Anolis sagrei: one gene and its partner. The protein of the gene in region 2 purifies or fractionates together with the protein of the main gene of each other region. This does not show direct contact. Links are inferred from orthologs where the notes say so. Each region holds a gene or a part of one and is shown on either strand. Other genes may lie near its edges.

Region 1 (15,802 bases), on a different chromosome or scaffold from region 2:
CCTGCCCGAGGGAATCCAATCAGTGAGGGTATCTGCATAGAGATCTATTGGAAATGAGGCAAGTAGACTGTAAATATCCCTGTGGAATGATGTCCAGGGTGGGAGAAAGAACTCTTGTCTGTTGGAGGCAAGTGCGAATGTTGCCATTGGCTACCTTGTCTAGCATTGAATGGCCTTGCAACTTCAAAGTCAACCAGTAAGGGTATATGCATAAAGTCTGTTAGAAACTAGTCAAGTGGGGTTTATATATTTGTGGAATGATGACCAGGGTGGGAGAAGGAACTGTTGTATGTTGGAGACAAATGTGAATGTAGCCATTGGTCAGCTTGATTATCATTGAATGGCCTTGCAGCTGCAAAGTCAATCAGTGAGAGTATCTGCATAGAGATCTATTGGAAATTAGGCAAGTAGACTGCATATTTTCCTGCTGAATGATGTCCGGAACTCTGCGTGAGTGTTGCCGTCGGCCACCTTGATTAGCATTGAATGGCCTTGCAGGTGCAAAGTCAATCAGTGAGGGTATTTGCATAGAAGTCGGTTGGAAATGAAGCAAGAGACTGTATATTTTCCTGTGGAATTATGTCCAGAACTCTGTGTGAATGTTGCCATCAGCCACCTTGAATAGTATTGAACGGCCTTGCAGAAAACAGGGGGATTCCAGGCAGGTAACAATCAGGGCCAGCTAACACTTCCCAACAAAGGATTCCCCCAAGCAGCCAGACAAGAATTCTTTCTCCTACACTCGACCCCATTCCACAGATATATAGACCCCACTGGCCTAGTTTCCAACAGACAACCTCTGAGGATGCCTGCCATAGATGTGGGCGAAACGTCAGGAGAGAGTGCTTCTGGAACAGGGCCAGAACTCACAGCAACTCACCTGGTTCTGTTTCCATTCCAAATATTGTACACAGACTAGGATCAAAGGGTTCGCCTCTCGTAAAACTTGGAGGCCGGAAGGCAAGAAACAAAACTTATTGCGACCTTCAGACTTTACGGGCTGTTTTGCATGAACACTAAAGCCGTCAATGGCACGAACATTCCACCTGTCGGCAAAATAATACAGTTAAATAAAGGACTCCACTCAGAAAGGGGAACCCCAGACACCTCTCAAACTGAGGGTGCCTCCAGGCAACAGGGGCCAGGTTACCTCTATGCAGATACCCTCACTGATTGACTTTGCAGCTTCATATCTACTCAGTTCTATTCAAGCTTACTCATTGCAACATCCACACTGGCTTCAAACAGACAAGGGTTCATCCTCCCACCCTGGACATCATTCCACACTCCACTTGCTACCTCTATGCAGATACCCTCACTGATTGACTTTGCAGCTGCATGGATACTCAATGCTATTCAAGCTTGCTCAATGCAGCACACACACTTCAAGAGAGTAAATTATTACTATTACTATTATTATTATTATTATTATTATTAATACACTCCACTTGCCATATCTATGCAGATACCCTCACTGATTGACTTTGCAGCTGCATGGATACTCAATGCTATTCAAGCTTGCTCAATGCAGCACACACACTTCAAGAGAGTAAATTGTTATTATTACTACTACTATTATTAATAATACACTCCACTTGCCGTATCTATGCAGATACCCTCACTGATTGACTTTGCAGCTGCATGGCTGCTCAATACTATTCAAGCTTGCTCAATGCAGCACACACACTTCAAGAGAGTAAATTATTATTATTACTATTATTATTATTATTATTAATACACTCCACTTGCCATATCTATGCAGATACCCTCACTGATTGACTTTGCAGCTGCATGGCTACTCAATGCTATTCAAGCTTGCTCAATGCAACATCCATACTTGCTTCAAACAGACAAAGGTTCTTCCTCCCACCCAGGACATCATTCCACAGATATATGTATATACACTTCGTTTGCTACCTCTATGCAGATACCTTTACTGATTGACTTTGCAGCTGCATGGCTACTCAATATTATTCAAGCTTGCTCATTGCAACATCCACATTGGCTTTAAATAGACCAGGGTTTATTCTCCCACCCTGGACATTCCACAGATAGTTATATATACACTTCATTTGCTACCTCAATGCACATACCCTCACCGATTGACTTTGCAGCTTTATGGCTACTCAATGCTAGTCAAGCTTGCTCATTGCAACCTCCACACTTGCTTCAACAGACAATGGTTCGTCCTCCCACTCCAGACATATTCCACAGGTATATACATTTCACTTGCTACCTGAATGCAGATACCCTCACCAATTGACTTTGCAACTTCATGTCTACTCAATGTTATTCAAGCTTGTTCATTGCAACATCCTTGCTTCAACAGACAAGGGTTCATCCTCCTACACTGGACATCATTCCACAGGTATATCTACACTCCACTTGCAACCTCTATGCAGATACCTTCATTGATTGACTTTGCAGCTTCATGGCTACTCAATGTTATTCAAGCTTGCTCATTGCAACATCCAAACTGGCTTTTAATAGACAAGGGTTTGTTCTCCCACCCTGGACATCATTCCACAGGTATATATATATATATATATATATATATATATATATATATACACTCCACTTGTGACCCCTATGCCGATGCCCTCACTGATTGACTTTGCAGCTGCATGGCAAGTCAATGCACAGATAAGTTTTCTTTCTCCCAAAGAGAGATATATGTATATATACACACACAAGCACACCACTTGCCTTACTTCCAACAGACCTCTCACAGATGCAGGCGAAACGTCAGGAGATAATGCTACTGGAACATGGCCATATAGCCAGAAAAACTCCCAGCATCCCAATAAAATTATTGTTGTTGTTGTTGTTTCCTCAAAGGATGCAACAATGAACCAGTGTCCTTCAGAAACTTTGCCCTGGAGCATGGTTTGGTGCTTGGATCCTCTTCCAACTGTGATCCTACCCAAATGCCTTCAAGTTCCATGTTTCTTTTGGGGTCACATTGGCATTTCTACCCCTGGTATCCTCTCAACCTCACGTTCCTTGGAGTCCTGGCATCCAGAGAAGGTCGGGAAACCCTACTGTTCGCTGGACTCCTGCGGCTCAAGAACAGGACCACAACTTCCTCCAGCGTCTGGTGAGAAGAGAAGTACGTGTGGACAACGTAGAAGGCCTTCCTCAGAGAGACCACCTTGAACTTGACTAGGAACTTGACTTGCGTTCTCACCAGAGACACGACGGACTTGGAGGAACCTCAGGAGGAGCAGGTAGGAGGTCAAGATGACCACTAATGGGACCATGAAGGGGAAGACCACCCTCTGGAGTTCGTAGACGTTCTCACCAGAGACACGACGGACTTGGAGGAACCTCAGGAGGAGCAGGTAGGAGGTCAAGATGACCACTAATGGGACCATGAAGGGGAAGACCACCCTCTGGAGTTCGTAGACGTTCTCACCAGAGACACGACGGACTTGGAGGAACCTCAGGAGGAGCAGGTAGGAGGTCAAGATGACCACTAATGGGACCATGAAGGGGAAGACCACCCTCTGGAGTTGGTAGACGTTCTCACCAGAGACACGACGGACTTGGAGGAACCTCAGGAGGAGCAGGTAGGAGGTCAAGATGACCACTAATGGGACCATGAAGGGGAAGACCAAGCTCTGGAGTTGGTAGACGTTCTCACCAAAGACACAACAGACTTGGAGGAAACTCAGGAGGAGCAGGTAGGAGGTCAAGATGACCACTAATTGGACCACAAAGGTGAAGACCAAGCTCTGGAGTTGGTAGACAATCTCACCAGAGACACGATGGACTTGGAGGAACCTCAGGAGGAGCAGGTAGGAGGTCAAGATGACCACTAATGGGACCATGAAGGTGAAGACCAAGCTCTGGGGTTGGTAGACGTTCTCACCAAAGACACAACAGACTTGGAGGAACCTCAGGAGGAGCAGGTAGGAGGTCAAGATGACCACTAATTGGACCACGAAGGTGAAGACCACCCTCTGGAGTTTGTAGACGCCCAACCCCTGGTATCGTCTCACGTTCCTTGGAGTCCAGGCATCCAGAAAAGGTTGGAAAACCCTCCTTCTGTTCGCTTGGACTTCTGCGGCTCAAGGACAGGACCACAACTTTCTCCAGCTTCTGGTGAGAAGTAGGTGTGGACAACGTAGGAAGCTTTCCTCAGAGAGACCACCTCGAACTTGACTAGGAACTTGACTTGTGTTCCCACCAGAGACACGACGGACTTGGAGGAACCTCAGGAGCAGGTAGGAGGTCAAGATGACCACTAATGGGACCATGAAGACTACCCTCTGGAGTTTGTAGACACCCAACCCCTGGTATCCTCTCAACCTCACGTTCCTTGGAGTCCTGGGATCCAGAGGAAACCCTACTGTTTGCTTGGACTCCTGCGGTTCAAGGGCAGGACCACGACTTCCTCCATCGTCTGGTGAGAAGCAAAGTAGGTGTGGACAATGTAGGAGGTCTTCCTCAGAGAAACCACCTCAAACTTGACTAGGAACTTGACTTGTGTTCCCACCAGAGACACGACGGACTTGGAGGAACCTCAGGAGCAGGTAGGAGGTCAAGATGACCACTAATGGGACCATGAAGACCACCCTCTGGAGTTTGTAGACACCCAACCCCTGGTATCCTCTCAACCTCACGTTCCTTGGAGTCCTGGGATCCAGAGAAGGTGGGGAAACCCTACTGTTCGCTTGGACTCCTGCGGTTCAAGGGCAGGACCACGACTTCCTCCAGCGTCCGGTGAGAAGAGAAGTACTGGTAGTTCGCCACGGAGGAGGAGAACCTCCGGAAGGTGTCTTTGAGGGCTTCCCGGAATTCACGGCGCATCAGACAGTATAGGACCGGGTTGAGGCAACTGCTGGCGTGAGCCAAGCAAGTGGAGATGGGGAAAAAGTACGTGTGGACGACGTAGAAGGCCTTCCCCAGAGAGACCACCTTGAACTTGATTAGGATGCCCCAAAAGGTCACGGCGTGGTTGGGGAACCAGCAGACGAAGAAGCACCCCACCACTAAGCCGACCGTAGCCATGACTTGTTTCCGCCTCTTTGAGTTCTCACCGGAGACACGGCGGACGTGGAGGAACCTCAGGAGGAGCAGGTAGGAGGTCAAGATGACCACTAATGGCACCACGAAGGTGAAGACCACCCTCTGGAGTTGGTAGGCGCCCAACCAAAACGGCGACGGGAACTTGAAAACGCAGATTTCCACCCCAAGGACGTCCACCACAGAGGTGTAGATCATGGTCGGAATGGTGGCTCCCATGGCTAAGACCCAAAGAGCCAACGTTGTCCACTTGGCCACGCGCATTGTGATTCTGGAACCATCCTTGATGGCTGAAGCCACCAACTGGTAGCGGGCAACGCTCATGGCCGTGAGCAAGAAGACGTTGGTGTAGATGCTGAGGACGGTCATCGATGGGACTATCTTGCATAAGGTTATGCCAAAGGGCCAGCTGAAGTCCAGCGCCATCTCGGTTGCCCAGAAGGGAAGGGTCAAGGAGAACTGGAAGTCGGCCGCCGCCAAGCCAAAGACGAAGATATTAATGGCCGGCGCGGGGCGGATCTTCTGTGCTCGGATTAAGTACATCACCAACGCGTTTCCCAACAGCCCCATGGCACAGACCAACGCATAGACCACGACGATGGTCATCCGCAAGCCAAAGGCAACGTCAGAAGGCATCTGAAGGTCTTCATCCTCATTGAAGGCACCAACGGAGGACCAATTCCAAACGCTGTGGTCAAGGGAGGTCTGGTTCTTGAGTTCCAGATCCCTCCTGGCCTCCATCTTCTCCAAAAGATACTTTGGTTTGGACCACGTTGCCCGCTGGATCACCAAAAGGAATGCTCCTCCATGGGTGGTGGCCTCCCAGATGATACGTCTCCCTTGGCTTTTCGTTCTCTTCCGCTTCTCCAGGTCTTCCTTTGAGAAAGGAAGGGAAGATCTAACCTGCCAAAGGAAGGCTGGAACCTGCCTCAAGACCAAGGACAACCCCTGTTTATGACCACTGGGCAGGGCACGGTTGGTGGCCCGTCTTCTTCTCCGGGAGGAAGAAGGAGGAGGAAGCCCAGCCTTCGCTCTCTGGACTTTTACGGGGATTCTTATCTTTGATTGCGTGCTGAGATTTGTGTAAACAGTCAGGAAGGTGGAGGGAGCCACCTTCATAATATATTATTTATTATAAATATAATAATATGTATAATATAATATAAAAATATAATAATTATTTATTATTATAATAAATAATAAGATTTATTATTATGATTATATAATATGCCAATAATAGCACTATAACAATGTAATATAACGTAATGTAAAATAATACAATAATATTATAATAATATGCCGATTTAAGATTATTATTTATTATTATTATTATTATATATACCAATAATAGCACTATAACAATGTAGTATAACATAATGTAATATAATACAATAATATTATAATAATATGCCGATTTAAGATTATTATTTATTATTATTATTATTATTATATATACCAATAATAGCACTATAACAATGTAGTATAACATAATGTAATATAATACAATAATATTATAATAATATGCCGATTTAAGATTATTATTTATTATTATTATTATTATATATACCAATAATAGCACTATAACAATGTAGTATAACATAATGTAATATAATACAATAATATTATAATAATATGCCAATAATAGCACTACAACAATGTAATATACAACAACAACAATTCTTTATTGATTAGTCAATTTTGACCATATCAAAACATGCAAAACATACAATGTAATATAATGTAATGTAACGTAATATAATATTATAATAATATGCCAATAATAACACTATAAGAATGCAATATAATATAATAATAATATTATAATAATATACCAAGAATAGCACTATAACAATGTAATATAATGTAAGTCACATAATATAATATTATATTCTAATAATCTACGAATAATACCACTATGACAATGTAATATGTAATATAATGTAATGTGATGTAATAATAATAATATACCAATACTATAACAATGAAATATAGTATAATATAATATATAATATAATAATATAAATATAATATGTAATATAATAATATAATAATAATATACAAAGAATATCACTATAACAATGTAATATAATGTAATGTAACATAATATAATATTATAATAATATGCCAATAATAACACTACAACAATGCAATATAATATAATAATAATATAATAATATACCAGGAATAGCACTTTAACCATGTAACATAATATAATAATAATATAATAATATAATAATAATATTCCAATAATAACACTACAACAATGCAATATAATATAATAATAATAATAATAATAATAATACTATACCAATAATAGCACTTTCACCATGTAACATAATATAATAATATAATAATTATAATAATAATATAATATTCCAGTAATAGCACTATAACAATGTAACATAATGTAATGTAACATATAATAATAATAATAATAATAATAATAATAATATGTACCAATAATAATAAGACTGTAACCATATGGTGGGAAAGAATTTCTGAGGAACCCGGAAGCTCCCTCTCCGATTGAGGGTGATGGTTGTCTACTATTTTTTGGCTAGCTCTATGTTTCCTTGGACATTTCTGGGAAAGGATTTCTGAGGAACCCGGAAACTCCCTCTCCGATTGAGGGTGATAGTTGTCTATTATTTTTTGGCTAGCTCTATGTCTCCTTGGGCATTTCTGGGAAAGGATTTCTGAGCAACCGGGAAACTCCCTCTCCGATTGAGGGTGATGGTTGTCTACTATTTTTTGGATAGCTCTATGTTTCCTTGGGCATTTCTGCGAAATAATTTATAAGCAACCCGGAAACTCCCTCTCCGATTGAGGGTGATGGTTGTCTACCATTTTTTGGATAGCTCTATGTTTCCTTGGGCATTTCTGCGAAATAATTTATAAGCAACCCGGAAACTCCCTCTCCGATTGAGGGTGATGGTTGTCTACTATTTTTTAGCTAGCTCTATGTTTCCTTGGGGCATTTCTTTCTGAGCAACCCGGAAACTCCCTCTCTGATTGAGGGTGATGGTTGTCTACTATTTTTGGCTAGCTCTATGTTTCCTTGGGCATTTCTTTCTGAGCAACCTGGAAACTCCCTCTCCAATTGAGAGTAATGGTTGTTTACTACTTTTTTTGCTAGCTCTATGTTTCCTTGTGCATTTCCTTCTGCGCAACCTGGAAACTCCCTCTTCGATTGAGGGTGATAGTTGTCTACTATTTTTTGGCTAGCTCTATGTTTCCTTGGGCGTTTCTGGGAAAGAATTTCTGAGCAACCCGGAAACTCCCTCTCCGATTGAGGGTGATGGTTGTCTACTATTTTTTGGCTAGCTCTATGTTTCCTTGGGCATTTCTCCTCCGCAAGGCCCCGCCTCTCTCTCTCTGGTGACGTCACAGAAGAGGCCGGCGGGGAATGTCGCACTGCTGCGCTTTACGGCCGCGCCGTGCGACGCTCCTCCTTTTCCTCTCCTCGCGAAGATGGCGGCGGCCGGGGTGAGCTCGCTTTCCGGAGGGGGAGCCGGCCTCCATCCGCTTCCATCGGGGCCGGGGAGCCACGGAGGGGCCCCGAAGCGGGACGAGTGGGGAGAGGGGACCCCGGCGGAGGTTTTGGGGCCTATATGGGGGCGAGGAAGCGGATGAAGGGCGAGAAATGGGGGCGAGAAGGGCCTCCGGGGGGGAGTGTCGGGTCACTCTATCCACGTCGAAGTGGCTTCTTAGGCCTCAGTGGAGTGGAGGGAGTCTAGAAGCAGGCTTGGGCCCAAGCTTGGACACTCCTGGTGTTTGGGACTACAACTCCCATCATTCCTCACAGCCTCAGGACCTTTCCTTTCCCCCCTGGGCCCTCCAGGTGTTTGGGACTACAATTCCCATCATTCCTCACAGCCTCAGGACCTTTCCTTTCCCCCCTGGGCCCTCCAGGTGTTTGGGACTACAACTCCCATCATTCCTCACAACCTCAGGCCCTTTCCTTCCCCCCTGGGCCCTCCAGGTGTTTGGGACTACAATTCCCATCATTCCTCACAACCTCAGGCCCTTTCCTTCCCCCCTGGGCCCTCCAGGTGTTTGGGACTACAATTCCCATCATTCCTCACAGCCTCAGGACCTTTCCTTTCCCCCCTGGGCCCTCCAGGTGTTTGGGACTACAATTCCCATCATTCCTCACAACCTCAGGCCCTTTCCTTTTCCCCCTGGGCCCTCCAGGTGTTTGGGACTACAACTCCCATCATTCCTCACAGCCTCAGGCCCTTTCCTTTCCCCCCTGGGCCCTCCAGGTGTTTGGGACTACAACTCCCATCATTCTTCACAGCCTCAGGCCCCTTCCTTTCCCCCCTGGGCTCTCCTGGTGTTTGGGACTACAACTCCCATCATTCCTCACAGCCTCAGGCCCTTTCATTTCCCCCCTGGGCCCTCCAGGTGTTTGGGACTACAACTCCCATCATCCCTCACAGCGTCAGGCCCTTTCCTTTCCCCCCTGGGCCCTCCTGGTGTTTGGGACTACAACTCCCATCATTCCTTAAGCGGCTGAGGGGGAAAAGGAAGGGGCCTGAGGCTGCGAGGAATGATGGGAGTTGTAGTCCCAAACACTCAGAGGGCCCAAGCTTGCAGGCTGTTCTTTGGCCTGTTGTGACAACTGGGACTGAGAAGCCTTGGGGCAATCTGGTGCCCATCATCCTGTTCCTTTGCTGTCTAATACTTTGTCTTGCTAGCCATTGTGGGACTACATTGCCCATCATCCTGTTCTTTTGCTGTCTAATACTTTGTATTGCTAGCCATTGTGGGACTGCATTGCCCATCATCCTGTTCCTTTTGCTGTCTAATACTTTGTATTGCTAGCCATTGTGGGACTACATTGCCCATCATCCTGTTCCTCTGCTCCTTTTCATGTCTTTCTTGTCCTTCCCCTCATCCCTAATAATAATAGTAATAGTAATAGATACATAGGCACTTTGGGTCTTGTTTGTGGAGAGAATAAGCAGAGTATAAACATAATAATAATAATAATAATAATAATAATAATAATAATAATATATACATAATAATACATAATAATAATATATACATAATAATAATAGATATATAGGCACTTTGGGTTTTGTTTGTGGTGAGAATAAGCAGAGTATAAACATAATAATAATAATAATAATATATACATAATAATACATAATAATAATATATACATAATAATAATAGATATATAGGCACTTTGGGTTTTGTTTGTGGTGAGAATAAGCAGAGTATAAACATAATAATAATAATAATAATAATAATATATACATAATAATACATAATAATAATATATACATAATAATAATAGATATATAGGCACTTTGGGTTTTGTTTGTGGAGAGAATAAGCAGAGTATAAACATAATAATAATAATAATAATAATAATATATACATAATAATAATAATAATAATAGATATATAGGCACTTTGGGTTTTGTTTGTGGTGAGAATAAGCAGAGTATAAAAATAATAATATATACATAATAATACATAATAATAATAATACATAGGCACTTTGGGTCTTGTTTGTGGAGAGAATAAGCAGAGTATAAACATAATAATAATACTAATACTAATTATAGATATAAACATCATAATAATAATAATAGATACATAGCCTCTTTGGGTCTTGTTTGTGGAGAGTAAGCAGCGTATAAACATAATAATAATAATAACAATAGATAAATAATAATAATAATAGATACATAGGCACTTTGGGTCTTGCTTGTGGAGAGAATAAGCAGAGTATAATAATAATAATAATAATAATAATAGTAATAATAATAGATACATAGGCACTTTGGGTCTTTTTTGTAGAGAAAATAAGCAGGGTATAAACATAATAATAATAGATACATAACCACTTTGAGTCTTGTTTCTGGAGAGAAAAGCAGGTATAATAATAATAATAATAGATACATAGGCACTTTCGTTCTTCCTTGGGGAGAGAATAAGCAGAGTACAAACATAATAATACATACATACTAATATAGATACATAGTTGCTTTGGGTCTTCCTTGGGGAGAGAATAAGCAGAATATAAACAATAATAATTATAATTGCTATTACTATTATACATCTAATACTAAAAATAGATACATAGCCACTGTTTGTGGAGATAATAAGCAGAGTATAAACAATAATAATTATAATACATATTAATACTAATAATAGATATAAACATAATAATAGATATATAGCCACTTTGGGTCTTGTTTGGGGAGAGAATAAGCAGAGTATAAACATAATAGTAATAATAATGCATACTAAAACTAATAATAGATGCGTAGCCAATTTGGGTCTTGTTTGTGGCGAGAATAAGCAGGGTATAAACATAATATAATAATAATAATAATAAATTCCTTAGCTTTTTGCTTCTATCCATACTTTGGTCTTTCCTTCTTTCCTTCCCTCCCCCTTTCTCTCCTTTCTTCCTTCTCTACCTCTTTCCTTCCTTTCCTTTTTCTTACCTTCTCTTCCTTCCTTCTCTACCTCTTTCTTTTCCCCTTTTTCTTTTCATTCCTCTTTCTCTCCTTTCTTCCTTCTCTACCTCTTTCCTTCCTTCCTTTGCTTTTTGCTTCTATCCATACTTGTCTTTTCTTTTTTCCTTCCCTTCCTCTTTCTCTCCTTTCTTACTTCTCTACCTCTTTCATTCCTTTCCTTTTTTTTACCTTCTCTTCCATCCTTCTCTACCTCTTTCTTTCCTCCCCCTTTTTCTTTTCATCCCTCTTTCTCTCCTTTATAATAATATAATATAATAATAATAAATAATAAATTAATAAATAATAAATAATAAATGATAATACTAATAATAGATACATAACCTCTTTGGGTCTTGTTTGTGAAGAGAATAAGTGGGGTATAATAATAATAATAATAATAATAATAATAATAATAATAAATATGTATACATCACACAGTCCTAGATGCTTGGGAAGTGTTCGACTTGTGATTTTGTGATAGGAAATCCAGCATATAGATCTCGTTTGCTGTGACATACTGTGGTTTGGTGTCAGTAAAATAATAGTAATAGTAATAATAATAATATTAATATTATCCTTCTGCAGACTCTCTACACTTACCCCGAAAACTGGCGGGCTTTCAAGGTCCTCATTGCGGCCCAGTACAGCGGCGCCAAGATCAAGGTCCTCTCCAGCCCGCCCCAGTTCCACTTCGGGCAGACCAACAAGACCCCCGAGTTCCTGAAGAAATTCCCAGTTGGGAAGGTGGGTCTCTGGGATGGAGCTGGGACCTGTCAAGACTGGGAAGCGTATTCTTGGGAGCACTGGGAGACTTAGCGTCATTGTTTACATCCCTTTGGTGGCTTACGACAGCTCTTTCTTTGTAGGTCCCAGCTTTTGAAGGGGACGATGGGTTCTGCGTGTTTGAGAGCAACGCCATTGCACACTACGGTAACAGTATTCCCCCATGTGTCTTTGTCATTACCTCCATAAAGGGGGATTTATAGTTTGTGGGAATTCAGCTCAGGAATCCAAGCAAGGCCTATTGTGGTGACCGTCTCCTTCATTCCTTCAGTCAGCAACGAAGAGCTGCGAGGAGCCACCAAAGAGGCGGCCGCCCAGGTCCTCCAGTGGGTGAGCTTTGCCGACAGCGATATTGTGCCTCCCGCCAGTACCTGGGTCTTCCCAACCTTGGGCATCATGCATTACAACAAGCAGGTAAAGTCCGCACCATACACCATCGCCTTTATATCAAACTAGCCATCCCCTGCCACGCGTTGCTGTGGCCCGGTCCGTGTATATGTGTTTTGTGTGTATATATATGTGTGTATTTGTGGTTTTGCGCATGTGTTGTATTTTAATTTTTGTTTTTTGACTTTTAAACTCTCTTCCACTATGCTTCTCAGTGTTTTTATGAGTGATGGTCACTCAGATATTTTCTTCTCCCTTCCTTCCCTCCCTCCCTCTTTCCTTCTTTCCCTCTTTTTCTTTTCCTCCTTCTTTCCCTTTTTCTTCTTTCCTTCTCTACCAGTTTCTTTCCTCCCTTCCTCTTTCTCTTTTCTTCCTTCTCTCCTTCCTTCCCTCTCTCTTTCCTTCCTTCCTTCATTCTCTCTTTCCTTCCTTCTTTCACTTTTTTATTTCCTTCTCTCCTTCCTTCCCTCCCTCTTTACTTCCTTCCCTCTTTTTCTTTTCCTTCTTCTTTCCCTTTTTCTTCCTTCTCTACCAGTTTCTTTCTTCCCTTCCTTTGCTCTTTGGTTCCATCCTTTCTTCTCACCTTCCCTCCCTCCCTCTTTCTCTCTTTTCTTCCTTCTCTCCTTCTTTCCCTCTCTGTATCCTTCCTTCCTTCTCTCTCTCTTTCCTTCCTTCTTTCATTTTTTATTTCCTTCTCTCCTCCCTTCCCTCTTTCCTTCCTTCCTTCCTTCCCTCCCTCTTTCCTTCCTTCTTTCATTTTTTAATTTCCTTCTCTCCTCCCTTCTCTCCCTCTTTCCTTACTTCTTTCACTTTTTTATTTCCTTCTCTCCTTCCTTCCCTTCCTCTTTACTTCCTTCCCTCTTTTTCTTTTCTTTCCCTTTTTCTTTCTTCCTTCTTTACCAGTTTCTTTCCTTCCTTCCTTTGCTCTTTGGTTCCATCGTTCTTTCTCTCTCCTTCCATCCTTCCCTCCCTCCCTCTTTCTCTCTTTTCTTCCCTCTTTCCTTCCTTCCCTCTTTCCTTCCTTCTTTCCCTCTTTTTCTTTTCCTTCTTCTTTCCCTTTTTCTTTCTTCCTTCTCTACCAGTTTCTTTCCTCCCTCCCTTTGCTCTTTGGTTCCATCCTTCCTTCTCTCTTTCCTTCCTTCCCTCCCTCCCTCTTTCTCTTTTCTTCCTTCTCTCCTTCTTTCCCTCTTTTTCTTTTCCTTCTTTCCCTTTTTCTTCCTTCCTTCTCTAACAGTTTCTTTCCTCCCTTCCTTTGCTCTTTGGTTCCATCCTCTCTTTCCTTCCTTCCTTCGCTCCCTCTTTCTCTCTTTCCTTCCTTCTCTCCTTCCTTCCCTCTTTCCTTCCTTCTTTCCCCCTTTTTCTTTTCCTTCTTTCCCTTTTTCTTCCTTCTCTACCAGTTTCTTTCCTTCCTTCCTTCGCTCCCTCTTTCTCTCTTTCCTTCCTTCTTTCCTTCCTTCTTTCACTTTTTTATTTCCTTCTCTCCTTCCTTCTCTACCTTTCTCTCCTTCCTTCCTTCCTTCCTTCCTTCCCCCTTTCTGTGTTTTGTGTGTGTATATATGCATATATGTGTGTATATTTATTTGTGTATGTGTGTTTGTGTATATTTGTGGTTTTGTGCATGGATTGTCATGTAATTTTTAATTTTTGGCTTTTTAAGTCCCTTCCGCTGTGTTTTTCAGTGTTTTGATGAGTGATGGTCACTCGTTGGCCTGAGAGGTGTCTTGTGTCCAAATTTGGTGTCCATTCGTCCAGTGGTTTTTGAGTTATCTTAATCCCACAAACGAACATTACATTTTTATTTATATAGATACACCATTTAAAACCGTCCTAGCCATTTGTGTCAAATCCAATTGCCTGGCCATCTTTCCTATTGTCCTGAAAGCTTGGTCCCACAGCCAAGTTTTGACCATCCTTCTAAAGGACAGGAGGGAGGGGGCCGACCTGATCTCACCAGGAAGGGAGTTCCATCGCCGGGGAGCAATCACCGAAAAGACCCCGTCTCTCGTCCTTGTGAGAATGGTGGGACGGAAAGCAGGGGCTCCCCGGAGGATCTTAATCTCCGCGATGGTTCATAGGGGGAGATGCGTTCGGACAAGTAATTTGGGCCGGGGCTGTTTAGGGCTTTCTAGGCCAAAGCCAGCACTTTGAATTGCGCCCAGAAGCAAACAGTTAGCCAGTAGAGCTGGCATAACATGGGAGTTGTGTGCTCCCTGTATGCCGCCCAGATTAGTAATCTGTCTGCCTCTCGTTGGACTAGTCGAAGCTTCCGAGCAGTCTTCAAAGGCAGCCCCACATAGAGTGCGTTGCAGTAGTCTATCCTAGATGTAACGAGAGATTTGATTTAATGTTATGTGATGCATTTGATGAAGTGTTGCCAGTCCTTGTCGTCCTCCCTTGACAGGCCACAGAGAGTGCAAAGGACGAAGTGAAGCGGATCCTGAGCCTCCTGGACTCCCACCTCAAGACCCGGACGTTCCTGGTGGGCGAGCGGGTCACCTTGGCCGACATCACCGTGGTCTGCACCCTCCTTTGGCTCTACAAACAGGTGAGGGGCCGAGGCTGCTGCTATTATTATTATTAAAATTATTATAGACTAGCTCAGTGTTTCTCAACCTGGGGGTCGGGACCCCTGAGGGGGTCGCGAGGGGGTGTCAGAGGGGTCGCCAAAGATCATAAGAAAAAACAGTATTTTCTGATGGTCATGGGGATTCCATGTGGGAAGTTGGAGCCAATTCTATCGTTGGTGGAGTTCAAAATCCTCTTTGATTGTAATGAACTAGAAATCCCAGCAACTACAACTCCCAAATGTCAAGATCTATTTTTCCCAGACTCCACCAGTGTTCACATTTGGGCATATTGAGGATTCGTGCCAAGTTTGGTCCAGTTCCATCATTGCATGAGTCCACAGTGCTCCCTGGATATAGGTGAACTACAACTCCCAAACTCAAGGTCCATGCCCATCAAACCCTTCCAGTGTTTTCCATTGGTCATGGGAGCCAGGTTTGGTTCAAATCCATCGCTGGTGGAGTTCAGAATGCTCTTTGATTGTAGGTTAACTATAAATCTCAGCAACTACAACTCCCAAATTACAAAATCAATCCTCCCCCAACCCCACTAGCATT
Region 2 (15,791 bases):
CTACTGAGGACATGAAAGAGCAAGGAAACTCACGTATTTATACGGCAGTAGCAGAGCACAAGCAACTGTCACGTCAGCCAGCGTCACAGCTTCCCCCACCAGGTATGTCCGGAGTTTCAGGTGACCGTCCAGCACCCCAAGGAGATTTCGCAGTTCTGCCAGAGCACGATCAGTCACCTGTGCAGGAGGAGAGAGTGAAACAGGATTTATATACAGAACACAGCCTTCACTGGTATCAATGCTTAAATTGTGTTCCCCCTCTCAAACTATTTATGATATTCACTTGCTTGATTCATTCATCTTTCTTCTAATGAGCTCAAAGCAGCAGACATGACTCTGTTTCTCCCCTCTACTTCCTCACAACTCTGCAAGGCATCTACACTGGCATATCATGCAGTCTGAAACTGCATTTTATGGTCAGTGTAGACCAGGCATGGGCAAACTTTGGCCTTCCATGTGTTCTGGACTTCAACTCCCACAATTCCTAATAGCCTGGCGTAGACTCATATAAGGCAGTTCAATGCAATTAAACTACATGACAAGCCTACACTCACCATACAACACAGTCTCAAAGTGCATTATATGGCAGCATAGATGGTGCTTTAGTGTGAAAAGGGACAACATTGATTAAGGTGAGCCAACAAGCTTCATGACTCAGTGGGGAGCAAAAGACCAGTCATCACTTTAATCTTTACACAACAGTGTAGAGTACATCTTATGAAGTAGACCTAGCTGACAAAAACATCTCTCTCAATCTCAAAGATGCTACAAGATTCCTTTGCAAACTGATATTCTAGTCTAACACAGCAATATCTTTGGATTATACAGCAGTGGTTCTTATTTCATTATATTTGTATCACACTTTTTCTTTCAACTGTGAAATTCTATTGAAAATTATAGACTTCTTCAAGCCTCCCCTAGTAATTTGTTTGTATATAATCCTGCTGCTTACTTATTGTACATATGTTCTGATATGCAGCTATCTTTCCTTTGCTTTATGTTTCTAATGCTTCTAGAACATGGCCATATAGCCCAAAAAACCTCACAACAACCCATAAAACAAGTTGTTTTATAGGAGAGTAGACGTATTTTTGGGCAACTGAAAAACACTTCTGAAGCACTGCTATTTTGTGCAGGCATATCCTCTGTTTCCTAACAGATCAGACACAACAGGTTATCAGTCTAACAACTGAAAGGTAAATTGCCTTGAATAATTACATCTGGTCATGTACCACTTGTGAGGAGATTCTTCTCAAATGGGTTTCTGGCTCTTCTCTAAAAGGTCATGCTTTTCCAAAAGGTTATGATCTTCAAATGATTATGAATGCCATTTTCCAAAAATATTCATTGAGTAACTGCAGTGCACTACATCAGCAAGACGCACATCTCCCAGTGCTTACCTGTTTATTTTGCTTGGAGACCCCCAACACTGAAAAAGCCGCTGCACAAGCAGCAGGAGCCACTTCCAAGTTGGCGAAGCTGATCCACTGCCGGATCAAGGCACTGGCTTCAGGACCTTGCCCTCTCAAGGCATCTGAGGAGAGGAGGAAAGAGACAGCCGCAGGCCCAGACACATAGATGCCAGCTTGCATCTCCAGAGCTGGGAGCTTGGGGATGGAGATGGAAGGGTTCTCCAGCTCCGTGTCAGGGGGCAGATTGACCACCTTGGGCTCGTGATGGCCATAACGGGCTGCAACAAGCACACAAAGATTCTGGAAGTTGTCAGGATGTGGGGAAAGATATAGGGTTGGCATGGCGAGGAGACAGTGTGTCCTGCAAACAAAGAACAAGGAAGAGTTAGAGATGAAGGATCAGCCCTTGAGACACAGATCCTTATACATATAGTATATCTGGCAAGCCAGAGGCACCCCAATCTGGTTTGGTCCAATAGGGAATACTTAAATTATGACAACCACAAGCTTTATTACAGACCCAGGCAGCTCGAACATCGAAGATATTCAAGTGCATACAGATTAATACACTGGTTAAAACACAAGAAAATACAAGGTACATATGGATTAATGCAAAGGCTAGTTTCAGCTTGAGTCTAGAGCAGCAAGATTTATTATCCTGGCTACCCCTGAGAGAAACTTGGTAATGTCCAAAGGCACACGAGGAAGATTATCTTCCAGTAAAAACTTGACATAGAATTCAGCTGACCTACCAGGTAGGTTGCACGGCAATGGGTTAATAATATGTTGTTGAGCCTGCTTGCAAAAGCTTCGGGACAATCATGTGTGTTTCACACATTCTACTTCCTTCTTGTATGATATAGAACACTTGCAAACCTGCCTCAAAGCATTCCTGAGGGGAATATGTGACATCTTGCTTTGGTAAATAGGCAGTATTTGGCAATAGTCAGATTCTTTAGATAACACTATGTAACACACGTTTTGTTCCTGGGTTATAAATGTCATTTCCAAATTGGTTCTATCATGAAAACATGGGAAAGATTTCTTAAACTGCAAAAACTTTGTTTTTGCAGGACATCCTGCAGTACATTATGCTATAGTTTTTCAATGAGCATCTCACAGAGTTGTGACCATTTCAACATAGTTTGTGGCAACCACAAAAATGAAGTTTCTGGAGTATAACAACTACCTTCAAATTAAGTACTGCACAATTAAACAGGAAATAAGACTTACAAACCAGGAACAGAAAATTGGCTCTGTGGAGTGGTCCTGTGTAGTGTATACACAACATACTAGGGCAGTGATGGGCAACCTTTTGAGCTTGGTGTGTCAAAATTTGCCAAAAACCTGAGCATAATTTGGGTGGAGTGTCACTTTGAGAAAAAAAACCCCATAATTTTGCAATATTTATAGTTTAAATAAGAAAAATGTATAATCCATGCTGAGTTATGGAGTGAACTATGCTCAAATGTGCAGTTGTTAAATTTGAGAGCCTTTTACAAATTTAAAGATGGAATTAGATTGGCTCTTATAAGGTGTATTTCTCTGTATGTGGCCACATGTGTCTGCGTGTCATCAAAAATAGCCATGCGTGTCAGTGCTGACACGCGTGTCATAGATTCACCATCATGGTACTAGGGGAACAAGAAACATATGAGTTGGATTACAACTTACAGAAGGCAATGTCCCACAGTTTTCGCTTGGTTTAAGTGCCAAGTCAAAACCTAGGCGAGTTAAAATTAATGCAGAAAGGCTAATGGAAGAGGCATTTAAAAAAAATAACCCTAGACCATCAACCTGTATACTCATCCTGAGATAGATGGTAAATTTGACCTGGACACAAACCAAAAACACTAATCTTGAGTCAGTATTTAAGAGCCAACCACCAAGCTTCCAAATTCTAGCAGCAAGATGCAAGTTGGAACACAACTGGAGAACTGAAAGAGAGCCGTCAAGAAAATTAATTGTTGCTTGTTTAGCTGAGATGTTAAGCCCTCAATCCAAATATTGGAAGCATACAACAGCTGGGAGGCTGTCTTAGCTCTAAAAACTTTAACAGCAGATGGTATATACTAACCTCATTTGGTTAGACTAAAGTGCAAGATGGCTAATCTGCTTACTTGAGCTTTCTGAGAAGTAGCAGATATATGAGAGGTCCAGGACATTATGTGACAGAAAGTCAACCCCAGGTATTGGAAGTTTCTAGCCTGTTCTAAATTATGCCCATTGAGTGACCATCGGCATGGGGAAATTTAAAAAAAAACCAGAACTTTAGATTTCCCATAGTTGCACCGGGACTGTGACGCAGCTGTCTGAGTGTCAGCTCCATTAAGATCACTTCTGACCAAAAGGTCATGAGTTCAAAGTGAGCCCGGGTGGGAGTGAGCTTCCAACCAATAGTGTAGTTTGTTGTCGACCTTTGCAACCCGAAAGACAGTAGCATCTGTCAAGTAGGAAAATTAGGTACCACCTATGTGTAGGGAGGCTAATTTAACTAATTTATGAGGCCATAAAAAAGATTTCAGCAAAGCACTCCAGCAAAAAAGCATGCGGGGAATGCAGAAATACTTCATCAGTCGCAGATGGACGATGAAAGCGACAGCTCCCCTGGCGGCCAGAAAAGTTAAATAGCCTCTGACTGTCTATATCTGTTGTATGTCTTTGGCATTGAATGTTTGCCATATATGTCTACACTGTAATCTGCCCTGAGTCCCTTGCGGGGTGAGAAGGGCGGAATATAAATGCTGTAAATAAAATAAATAAATAGTTGATTTTTAAGTCGTCCTGTGAGCAATAATTTCAAGAGGGATCAAACTGTCACTTAGCTCCCATCCTGTCCTGTTTTGCTCTTAAAAAAACAGCCTCAATACAAAATTGAAAGTAAAAGAAAAATGCTTTACACCAGCAAACAAAATAAGCAAATGCAATTGAAAAAGAAAACAAGGAAGTCTTACTACAGACACCAATGAAAGTCTTTTGAAAAATTCCCAGCAAAATCAGCAGACAATAAGGCACAGATCACAAAGTCTTCAACACAAAGCAGGTTACGACAGTAACAGAGTTGCTGTTAGCAGCAAAAAGCTAAGTTCTCCTGCTTCTGATTTATACTCCACACAGGAGGGCTTACGGTGTCACCCAATTAGCTCATCAATCTTTTAGCAGCTGACCGCAGCCTGTTCTCTGACTCCCTCTGTCTTTCTACAAAAGTAGGCACCTGCAAAACCTCATTGTCGGATTCTTCTTCCTCTCCCTCCAAGACTTGAGCACCTCCCTGCTCCCCTTCCTCTTCCGACGAGGAATCCCCAACACATCCACCCTGATATATAAAATCCAGATTATCTGCTTTGAGTTGGATTATATGGCAGTGTAGGCTCATATAATCCAGGTCAAAGCAGATAATGTGAATTATCTCCTTTGATAATCTGTATTATATGGCAGTATAGAAGGGCCTAGGAAGATGCAATATTCAGCATATCTTTCAGTGATGCATCCGTTTCTTTTTTTTAAGGTGAAAAGAGGAACTCAATGACTCAAGAGGAACAAAAGCCAGTGTTTTCTCCACCTTTCCTGAATGCATGCTATATGTCTGTGTAGAGAATAAATATAAACACTGTGCATGATAGTTATATTATGCTGAGAGAAGAGAGTTAGTGAAAATACTTCTGCAGTGCCATATGGGGAAAAGACGGTGTCCCAAGAGATAGGAGGAGGAAATGTTATTACCTCAACTATCTGAATCCAGGAAAGAAAGGAATCTAATTTTTCAGGAACTCTCCTAAATTTGTTCTAAATCATTATTTTTATGCTTGAGATGCTATCCAGATGGCTCTAGGACTCGGGTATCTTTTCTATAATACAGTGCATCAAAACTGCTGAATAATTGCAATTTGATACCATGGTTCAATGTTTGGGAATCCATGATTTTTTATTTGATGAAGCACTATCTCCCTTTGGCAAGAAGACTGAAACCTTGTAAAACGACAACTCCCAAAATTCCATAGCATTGAGCCAAGGCAGTTAAAGTGGAGTTAAATCTACATTAATTCTATAGCATAAATGCACCCTTAGATCTTCAGGCATTAGGATAGAGGTCCCAAGGAGTATTCTATGAAGGATAAAATATTCCCAGTTTTTTTTATATACAGTCATCCCATAACAAGCTTGCTCCCGCCTCCCTATGATGTCCCCCCCCCCACACACACATGTTTATAAATGGCTCTCATCACGTCTCTTCTCAATCTTCTCTACTGCAGCTAAACATGCCCAGCTCTTTAAGCCGCTCCTCATAGGGCTTTTTCTCCAGACCCTCCTCTTGACACATTCCAGCTTGTCAACATCTCCCTTGAATTGCAATGCCCAGAATTGGACACAGTATTCCAGGTGTGGAATTTGAATATTATGACTTGTTGTGGAAACAAGGATGGGTGAGAAAGCTTCAATGGAGATACCTTTTCCCCATGATAACTCCCCCAGGAATAAAATTCCCTTCCTATAAGTCGATTTCTCTCAGTTCTTGTTGTCTCACCCCCGTTCTTAACTATAAGTCAGATGTCTGTAACTTGGGGATTGCCTATATTTGTATGTGTCCTTTCAAGTCTGACTGTGGACTCATCACTAACTATTAATTTTGTAAGTTTTTCTCAGGCAAGGAATATTCAAGATGTGGTTTTGCCCGTTCCTTCTTTTGAAACACACTACAGCAGGCATGGTCAAGCTTTGGCCCTCCAGGTGTTTTGGACTTCAACTCCCACAATTCCTAACAACCCATGCCTGCACTACAGCATCCTTGCAAGGGCGAAATAGAGCTGACCCTGCTTAGTTGCAAGATACTCCACTTAGGCAGAAAAAAAGAAATGCAAAGATACAGAATGGGGGAGGCGTGTCTCGAGAGCAGTACGTGTGAAAAAGATCTTAGAGTCCTCGTGGACAACAAGTCAAACATGACCCAACAATGTGATGCGACGGCAAAAAAAAAAAGCCAGTGGGATTGTGACCTGCATCAATAGGAGTATAGTGCCTAGATCCAGGGAAGTCATGCTACCCCTCTATTCTGCTTTGGTTAGACCACACCTGGAATACTGTGTCTAATTCTGGGCACCACAATTGAAGAGAGATATTGACAAGCTGGAATGTGTCCAGAAGAGGGCAACAAAAATGATCAAGGGCCCGGAGAACAAGCCCTATGAGGAGCGGCTTAAAGACCTGGGCATGTTTAGCCTGAAGAAGAGAAGGCTGAGAGGAGGTATGATGAGGGCCATGTATAAATGTGGGAGAGGAAATCATAGGGAGGAGGGAGCAAACTTGCTTTCTGCTGTCCTGGAGACTAGGACACGAAGCAGGAAAGGAGATTCCATCTGAACATTAGAAAGAACTTCCTGACTGTGAGCGCCATTCAGCAGTGAAACTCTCTGCCCCGGAGTGTGGTGGAGTCTCCTTCATTGGAAACTTTTAAACAGAGGCTGGATGGCCATCTGTCAGGGGTGTTTAGAATGCAATTTTCCTGCTTCTTGGCAGGGAGTTGGACTGGATGGCCCATGAGGTCTCTTCCAACTCTAGGATTCTATGAAAGGAGATTCCATCTGAACATTAGGAGGAACTTCCTGACTGTGAGAGCCGTTCAGCAGTGGAACTCTCTGCCGCGGAGCGTGGTAAAGGCTCCTTCTTTTGGAAGCTTTTAAACAGAGGCTGGATGGCCATCTGTCGGGGGTGCTTTGAGTGCATTTTTCCTGTTTCTTGGCAGGGGGTTGGACTGCATGGCCCATGAGGTCTCTTCCAACTCTATGATTCTATGAAAGGAGATTCCATCTAAACATTAGGAAGAACCTCCTGACTGTGAGAGCTGTTCAGCAGTGGAACTCTCTGCCCCGGAGTGTGGTGGAGTCTCCTTCTTTGGAAGCTTTTAAACAGAGGCTGGATGGCCATCTATCGGGGATGCTTTGAATACAAATTTCCTGCTTCTTGGCAGGGGGTTGGACTGGATGGCCCATAAGGTCTCTTCCAACTCTAGGATTCTAGTTTCAAAGATCTGACAAGATCTGGATTCTTTAAAGTGACAACTGGGAATTAATGTCTACACTGCATATTTAATGCAGTTTGACACCACTTTGAGTGCCATCTCTCAATGGTATGGAATCCTGGGCGTTGTACTTTGGTGGGGAAGGAATAACTAAAGACCTTACAAACTGCAACTCCCAGGATTCCATAGCACTGAGTCTTGGCAGTTCAAGTGGTATCAAATTGCATTAATTCCACTGTGTAGATGCACTCAGAGCTGCAATGAACTGCAAAGGGAAGAAGCAGGAAATCCAAGTCTCTTGGAAGTAGAGAAAAGAGTTGACAGCACAGGCTAAAGAAGGGGAAGTACTTATTGAATAGTTGGGAGGGTCCCAGCAGGGAATGGGGACAGGAAGGGCTTCCTTCTTACCTGCACTGCCAGCCGGTCCCAGCCTCTCCCCCACGTGCTGCTTTTTCTTTTGGAGGAAGGACCCCTTCTGTAGGCGTCTACAGCAATGCCTGTCTCATGTATCTACAAGCAGGAGGAATACTAGGTGCGCAAAGTTAAGGAAACAGCACTGTAATAACCCTGTGCCTTTGAGTAAATTTACACTGTAGAAGTAATGCAATTGAATACCGCTTCCTCTCCTAGAAGGAAGGAGAGCCTTCACTCCTAATGATTACAAACCAGTTGCATCATGCACATTCGAGTGAATGGGGATTTATTTTTTTTCACAAAGGCAGTTGCTTAGACAGCCCTTCGCAGGGTCCTCTTCTTATTGGTAGGAGTGACAAAAAGTCTAAAACTGACCACAGAGAAAAACAGTTAGAGTGATACAGATGCAGAACTTCCGGGCAAAGTTCTCTTATTAGGAGACTATTAGCCCATAAATGTATATAGTGAGATTTCTCAACATTGATATCTCTGTGATAAACACTATGGAAAATAGCTATGATTCTTCATCTTGTTGATGGGAAGCTTCTCACCAGAGTGGAAATCATCTATCAGACAGATGGCAAGCTATTTAACCTCAGCAGACTGAAAGCCAAAACCAAGGTTACAACATGTGTTATAGAACTCCAGTATGCTGATGACAACGTCATCTGTGCGCATTCAGAAGAAGACCTAAATCCATGATGGTCAACCTATGACACGTGTGTCAGCACTGACACGCATCGCTATTTTTGATGACACGTGGCCACATGCGGCCACAGACAGAGAAGTACACCTTATAACAGCCAATCTAATTCCATCCTTAAATTTGTAAAAGGCTCTACAAATTTAACATTTGCACGTTTGAGCATTGTTCACTCCATAACTCAGCATGGAATATACATTTTTCTTATTTAAACTATAAATATTGCAAAATTATGTTGTTTTTTTCTTGAAGTTGACACCCCACCCAAGTTATGCTCAGGTTTTTGGCAAATGTTGACACACCAAGCTCAAAAGGTTGCCCATCACTGACCTAAATGGTTCTGGTCCAGTTTACCTGTACGAACGTATCTCCCGCTACGATCCACCTACGGCCCTAAAATCATCCAGGGAGACCCTGCTCATTGTCCCCCCATTGTCGCAATCACGTCTGGTTGTGACAAGGGATATTTTATTTATTTATTTACAGCATTTCTACCCCGCTCTTCTCACCTCCTCATGGGAAGTCAGAGTAGCTAACAATGGCAACGATTCGATGCCACAATAATTACAATTATAATAGCAAAATAAAATCATACAATATAATACATTAAAACAATGTTAGTTATCCAATCATAAAGGCAGTTCCATTATAACAACCGTCTAGTCCAATTCACTGTTCAGGTGCTGTTATATCCATTAGCCAAAAGCCTGGTTCCTTCTCTGTGGTGGCCCCTCAGCTATGGAACTCCCTCCCAAGTGAAATTAGATCTTCTGCATCCCTCTTGACCTTCCGGAAACAAGTGAAATCCTGGCTAGATTAGGTTGAGTTGCTGATATGACGACTTTTATAGAACTGACTGATTGCCCCTTGGATGATGATTCAAACTGCTGACTGCTGGATTGTTTTATACAGTTTTATTGCCATATTGCTGTTAAATTGTATTTTTATGTTTCTGGTATGGGCACCATGGGGTGCCGTTTTGTTAGCCGTCCTGAGTCCCTCTGCGGAGGTTGAGACTGGATGGTATATAATAAATAAATAAATAAATAAATAAATAAATAAGCCACTCTAAACACCTTCGCAGAAGCATACAAGAAGCTCAGCCTGTCACTGAATATCGAGAAAACCAAAGTGCTCTTGCAGCAGTCATCAGCCAATCCCTCTCCAATGCCAAAAATACAGCTTAATGGTGAAACATTAGAAAATGTTGACCATTTCCGCTACCTTGGCAGCCACCTCTCCACATTCGACACTTAAATACAACACCGCCTGAGCTCTGCAAGTGCAGCATTTTTCCGAATGAAGCACAGTGTTTGAGGACCTGGACATCTGTAGGGATACCAAGGGGCTTGTTTATCAAGCCATTGTCCACCCAACCCTGCTATACACCTGCGAGACGTGGCCTGTCTACAGACGTCACATAAGACAATGGATTTCCACAATCACAACAAACACAAATCCACTACAAGTCATAGTACATAAACCACAAAGGTAATTTTTTTTCAGCTTATATAATGCAATATTAAACTTATAATCAACTTATATGATATCATATAAGTTGGTTATAAGTTTAATATTGCATTATATAAGCTGGAAAAAAACATTTACCTTTGTGAATTATGTACTACGACTTGTAGTGGATTTGTGTTTGTTGTTACAGACATCACATGCAACTCCTGGTACGATTCCATCAGTGTTGCCTCCAGAAAATCCTGCAAATCTCTTGGTAAGACAAGCAGACAAATGTCAGTGTGCAGGAAGAAGCAAGACCACCAGCATTGAAGCGATGGTCCTCTGCCATCAACTCCGCTGGACCGGCCACGTTGTCCGGATGCCCGACCACCGTCTCCCAAAGCAGTTGCTCTACTCCAAACTCAAGAATGGAAAACGGAATGTTGGTGGGCAGGAAAAGAGATTTAAAGATGGGCTCAAAGCCAACCTCAAAAACTCTGGCATAAGACACGGAGAACTGGGAAGCCCTGGCCCTTGAGCCCTCCAGCTAGAGGTCAGATGTGACCAGCAATGCTGTAGAATTTGAAGAGGCACAAATGGAGGGAGACAGAGAGAAATGTTCCAAGAGGAAGACACGTCAAGCCAATCCCGACCGGGACCGCCTTCCACCTGGAAACCAATGCTCTCACTTCAGAAGATGCAGATCAAGAATAGGGCTCCACAGTCACCTACGGACCCACCGCCAGTACATCGATCTTGGATGACAATCCTACTCGGACTACAAGGGATTGCCTAAGTAAGTAATAAACACTATGCGTGATTAGCAGGGCTTTTTAAAAATACTGTGGTGTGCAATCATAGAATAATATGGTTTGGCCCACTCTTTTTGTTTCCCATGTTCCCCAGCTAAACAAGACCAATGGCAAAGTGATTTTTTTTTCGTGTCAAGAGTGACTTGAGAAACCGCATGAAAAAAATGTATTCCTGGTTTGAAAAAGTTATTTCCTGTTTAAGTATGTGGTACTTACTTTGAAAATTGTTGTTATAGTCCAGAAACTTCATTTTTGTGACTGCCACAAAGTAAGGTGAATTGATTGAGACTCGAGATATTCATTGAAAAACTATAGCAAAATGTGCTGCAGGATGTCTTGCAAAAACAATTTTTTGAAGTTTAATAATCATTTTCCTTGTTTTTAAGATCAAACCAATTAGGAAATGACATTTATAACCCAGGACCAAAAATCATGTTGCATAGTGTTGTATTTTCTAGCAAGTCAATCCTTCTTATGATATGCTTTTTGTTTTTTTGTCATATCAGGAGTGACTTGAGAAACTGCAAGTCGCTTCTGGTGTGAGAGAATTGGCTGTCTGCAAGGACGTTGCCCAGGGGACGCCCAGATGATTTGATGCTTTTATCATCCTTGTGGGAGGCTTCTCTCATGTCCCCGTATGAGGAGCTGGAGATGATAGAGGGAACTCATACGCCTCTCTCCAGATTCAAACCTGCAACCTGTCGGTTTTCAGTCCTGCCGGCACAGGTGTTTAACCCACTGCGCCACCGGGGACTCCATATGATATGCTGAAAGTGCAGCACTCTCTGTTTTGTCATCCTGGCTTCTAGGGAGAGCTGCCTCAAACTACATAAGCTGGCTTTAGCACAGCAGGTTAATCGCCAGCTATAGCTGCAATAAATCTTGGTTGCCAACCAAAAGGTTGACAGTTCAAAGCTGGGTCAGGGTGAGCTCCTGACCTTCAGCCCAACTACCCGCCCAACGAGCAGATCAAAAACAGCAAATAGTAGATAAACAGGAACTGCATTAAAGTAGGGAGGTATTTTAAGCACAGTTTTTCAATCAGAGAAAAAAGAAGAAAAAAGTTTACCAACGAAGAATGCTCTTCAGCAAGGAGATGGAGCGACAACATCCCCCTGTGGCCGGAACTGAGCACAGCCTCCAAAGATGCCGAAAAGATAGGGAAAAGCTGATATAATACTACTATCTGTTGCCTGTCTTGTCATTGTATAATCGACATTGAATATTTACCGAATATGTGTTCTCTTATCCACCCTGTGTCCCCTTTGGGATGAGAAAGGTGGAATATAAATACTGTAAATAAATAAGCAAAGGAAAAATGTGTGTTCTATACATATCCATAATTCTCTATATTTGAAGGTGAGCATTTGCAGATTTGATTAGTCGTGTCTTACCGTTAATCATTCAATTAGAGGGCCTAGGCATTTCTAGGAAGTATTCTCTCAGAAAACAATAAGTGTCTGCAACATCTATTTATATCCATTGTTTATATGATATTGTGCCTATCTTTGATACTCAGAGCAACTAGTCTTTCAAATTCAACATTTTATTCTTCCATAGTTTAAATGTTACATATTTCTTTTTCAAAACATCCCTTGTAAATACAAAAAAGTCATCCCACACACCCCTGGATGGAAATCACTAGGATAACAAAACTTCAGAAGCATGAATATGGGTTGTTTCACTCTTTTTGCAGGAACAAAACCAATGAAGAAGCAAACTTCTCTTGCTTCAGAAAGATTGTGGATCTAGGTTTCTAGTATCCTCTAGAGCCCCAAAAGACAAAAATATTTGAATGTATCACTCTTATTAAGAGATTACAGGTGTACATTGGATGGAATAAAATAAGGTTATGGGACCGAAATGATGTTGGCACCAAAGGTTCTGCAAGAGTCCTTCAGCACGTTTTGAAATTATCAACAAAAAGGGTGGTATATCCACTGACAAAATCTCTAATGACTTCAAACACTTCCCAAAATTACCTTTTTGAGGTTAGACAAGAGAAAGCTGGAAAGAGCTTGTAGCCAAAAAACAGTCTAGCTTTTAGCCATCCTTTGTGACCATTGTATAGAAGAGGAAGACTAAAGCAATCTCCTCCAACTAAGGCTCCTTCAGATGTGTTGAGCTACAACATTCACAACATTCTCCATTTTAGCTCAAAGGAGTGTTGCAATTGTATCCCAACATTCCTGGAGGACAACTGGGAGGATGTATTCCAGAAATGTCTGCATGCATTTCTTTTATATATTAATATGGAAACAGACCTTTGCTGGGAGATACTTTTTCAGCAGCAAACAGTGCTACAGAAATGAAATGCTGAATGGGACGGAGGGAGAGTTCGGTAGAAAAACAAAAATTGAGCTACTGGCAATAGGAGCTTAGAAAAACAAAAAGCACTGGTATTATCCCAGTAATGGGTCTCATCCATGTAGTGGAAACAGAAAACAATATTCCCCCACTAGAGTTGCCTCTGGGAGGGACAAAAGAAATGGAAAATATTCACAAGGATTTTCTCACCCAACAGTACACTTGAATGTACCCACATACACACGCATATACACATACACTGCTGGTTCCCTCCCATAAAGAAGCTGGTCTAGCTTTCCTCCAGCACTTCTGGGTGGAAATTAGGGTGGGAAGGGAGTAAAAAGAAGGAAACTGTCACTGCTTCTGCTGGAGGGCCTCCTTTCGTGCGGCATCCTGCAGAAGTTGGGTGTCGACTTCATCAGCTGGAAGCTGAACATAGCGAACAACAGAGCCACGGATGAAGCAGTTCTTGACAGACAGCTGGTCGGAGGAAGAAAAGATGCATTTTGTTTGTTATTGTGATATTTTTTGTTTGTTCAGAACAGTGAAACTACCTTTAAATAATGTCTTCATTTTTATGTCTTGCCCTGAAAGGTAGCACACAGAGATCTACATGAGCTTGCATAGTGGTTTGAGTGCTAGATTAGGATGCTACCCTGTAGAATTAATGCAACTTGACCCCACTTTAATTGCAATGGTTCAATGCTATCGGAACTGCAATTTGGTGAGGTGCCGGCACTCTTTAACAAAGAAGGCTAAAGATTTTACAAAACAACAAATCCTATGATTCTATAGCATTCAGCCATAACAAAGTGGGATCAAACTGTATTCATTCTACAGTATAGATCAGGCATGAGCAAATTTGAGCCCTCTATGTATTTTGGACTTCAACTCCTCCAATTCCTAACAGCCTACTCACTGTTTGGAACTGTGGGAGCTGAAGTCCAAAACACCTGGAGGGCTCAAGTTTGCCCATGCCTGGATGTACCACAGGATTCAAATATCCAGAGCCAGGAAAAATCACTAGGTTACTTTAAAAAAAGGAGACCCCGGTGGTATAGCGGGTTAAACCACCAAGCTGCTAAACTTGTTAACCAAAAAAAAATCGGCGGTTCAAATCTGGGGAGTGGGGTGAGCTCCCGCTGTTAGCCTCAGAAGCAACCACAACTCCCATCAGCCTAGGTGTAAGACTCACCATATGAGGGTATTTTTCTGGATCTGTTACACTGATGTCTGTGAGCTTGATATTCAGGTACTGTATTTCAAGAAAAGGAAAGAGAAGTGTATATAAGGACATAATAAACCCCTTTCTGCAATGTTTTTTTCACAGATGCAAGCCACCACTTGACACTCAAAACAGGCAAAGCAGCGGAATAGATAACATGGAACTATGAATGATAAACATGGAATGACCAGATGATGTTACTTGATTACATTTTTAACAAGATGACACAGATGATTATATGTTTTAACTGTTTTTATTTGTGTTTTATATTGTAATGTTGTTTGTTTTTAATGGCACTTTTATGAATGCCTGACATTGAATTGTGCCAATCTGTATCCCGCCTTGAGTTGCTGTATGGCTGAGAAAGGCAGGCTATAAATATCATAAATAAAATAAATGTGTAAACCCAACAAAGCCACATGCATTCTCCAGAAGGGAAGAAGAATTGGCTCAATCGTACCTGATCCACGGAGTGCAGGGTCCCACATATGCTGTATTTAAGGGAGGAAAAAGAAAGCAAAGACATTATTGAACATTAGAAAGGATACAGAATAAGGAAACTCCGAGCAATATGTCCCTAAATGCACTTTATCAATGATCTAGGATTGTTTGCATGCCCTTTCCTCTCCGAAATTCTATCCTTGTTATATATTTCACCTGGTCATGCTCAGAATTATTTAAAAAAAAATTAATTATTACATTTGGCCCAGACATAGGTTTTTAAGCGTTGTTGTGCTATTGTTAATGTTTACTGCTTGTTTTTTGTTTATGAGTTTCATTTTATTGTTTTGTATTGCTGTTGTTGTTTTTGCTGATGTATTGTGGGCTGGGCCTCATGTAAGCCGCACCGAGTCCCTTGGGGAGATGGTAGTGGGGTACAAATAAATTATTATTATTATTATTATTATTATTATTATTATTATTATTACATGGGTTCTTTAAGTTTGATCTAAATCAAGGCCAGTTCTGTCATTAGGCAAAGTGAAGCAACTGACTCAGTTAGTGCTTACTGGAGGCAAATTGTGGCTTCTTTGAAGATGGAAAAGGCAGAGAAAATGGGTTAGGAACTGACAGTTCATTATCTTGCTCCCACCCCAAAAAAGCAAAACTTCCTTTGCAAATAAGAGACCTACCTCAAGTCATTCTTCAGTTCAACCACTACGTCCTTCCCTACCAGGGACTTGAAGAAGGAGTAGAAGAGCTGTAGCCAGGAAGAAGGGACAATGTAAACAAAGAAGTAAAAAAGATAATGCACTCAAAGACAAAGTAAAAACCTCATAGTCTCCTTGCACTGCCCAGCAGGAAACACCACGTGCTTCGCAGGGCTTGGAAAAGTTGCTTGTCTGCAGCACTGGGTGTAGAATTAATGTAATTTGACATCACTGTGGCTTAATGCTATGGGGTCGTGAGAGTTGTAGTTTCACAAAGCCACTAAAATGATCCCTATGAG

Evidence for each region.
Region 1: the proteins of VARS1 (region 2) and EEF1G purify together in Homo sapiens (affinity purification with mass spectrometry; 6 studies listed by BioGRID and IntAct, counting the BioPlex papers as one, with this or other methods). This does not show direct contact. The link is inferred for Anolis sagrei from reciprocal best matches to the Homo sapiens genes VARS1 and EEF1G.

What each region holds. Positions count from the first base shown.
Region 1 is NC_090032.1:21,208,588-21,224,389, reverse strand, and holds the start of EEF1G (elongation factor 1-gamma), read left to right. Parts: upstream 1-8,406; 5' UTR 8,407-8,499; coding exon 8,500-8,514; intron 8,515-12,095; coding exon 12,096-12,254; intron 12,255-12,376; coding exon 12,377-12,440; intron 12,441-12,564; coding exon 12,565-12,707; intron 12,708-15,081; coding exon 15,082-15,225; intron 15,226-15,802. Other genes in the region: RXFP4 (relaxin-3 receptor 2), read right to left, coding at 4,666-6,147. UniProt on the Homo sapiens protein: Probably plays a role in anchoring the complex to other cellular components.
Region 2 is NC_090022.1:21,191,366-21,207,156, forward strand, and holds the start of VARS1 (valine--tRNA ligase), read right to left. Parts: upstream 7,946-15,791; 5' UTR 7,837-7,945; intron 1,774-7,836; 5' UTR 1,755-1,773; coding exon 1,401-1,754; intron 178-1,400; coding exon 34-177; intron 1-33. Other genes in the region: U6 snRNA-associated Sm-like protein LSm2, read right to left, coding at 13,471-13,596, 14,312-14,371, 14,802-14,832, 15,475-15,542. UniProt on the Homo sapiens protein: Catalyzes the attachment of valine to tRNA(Val).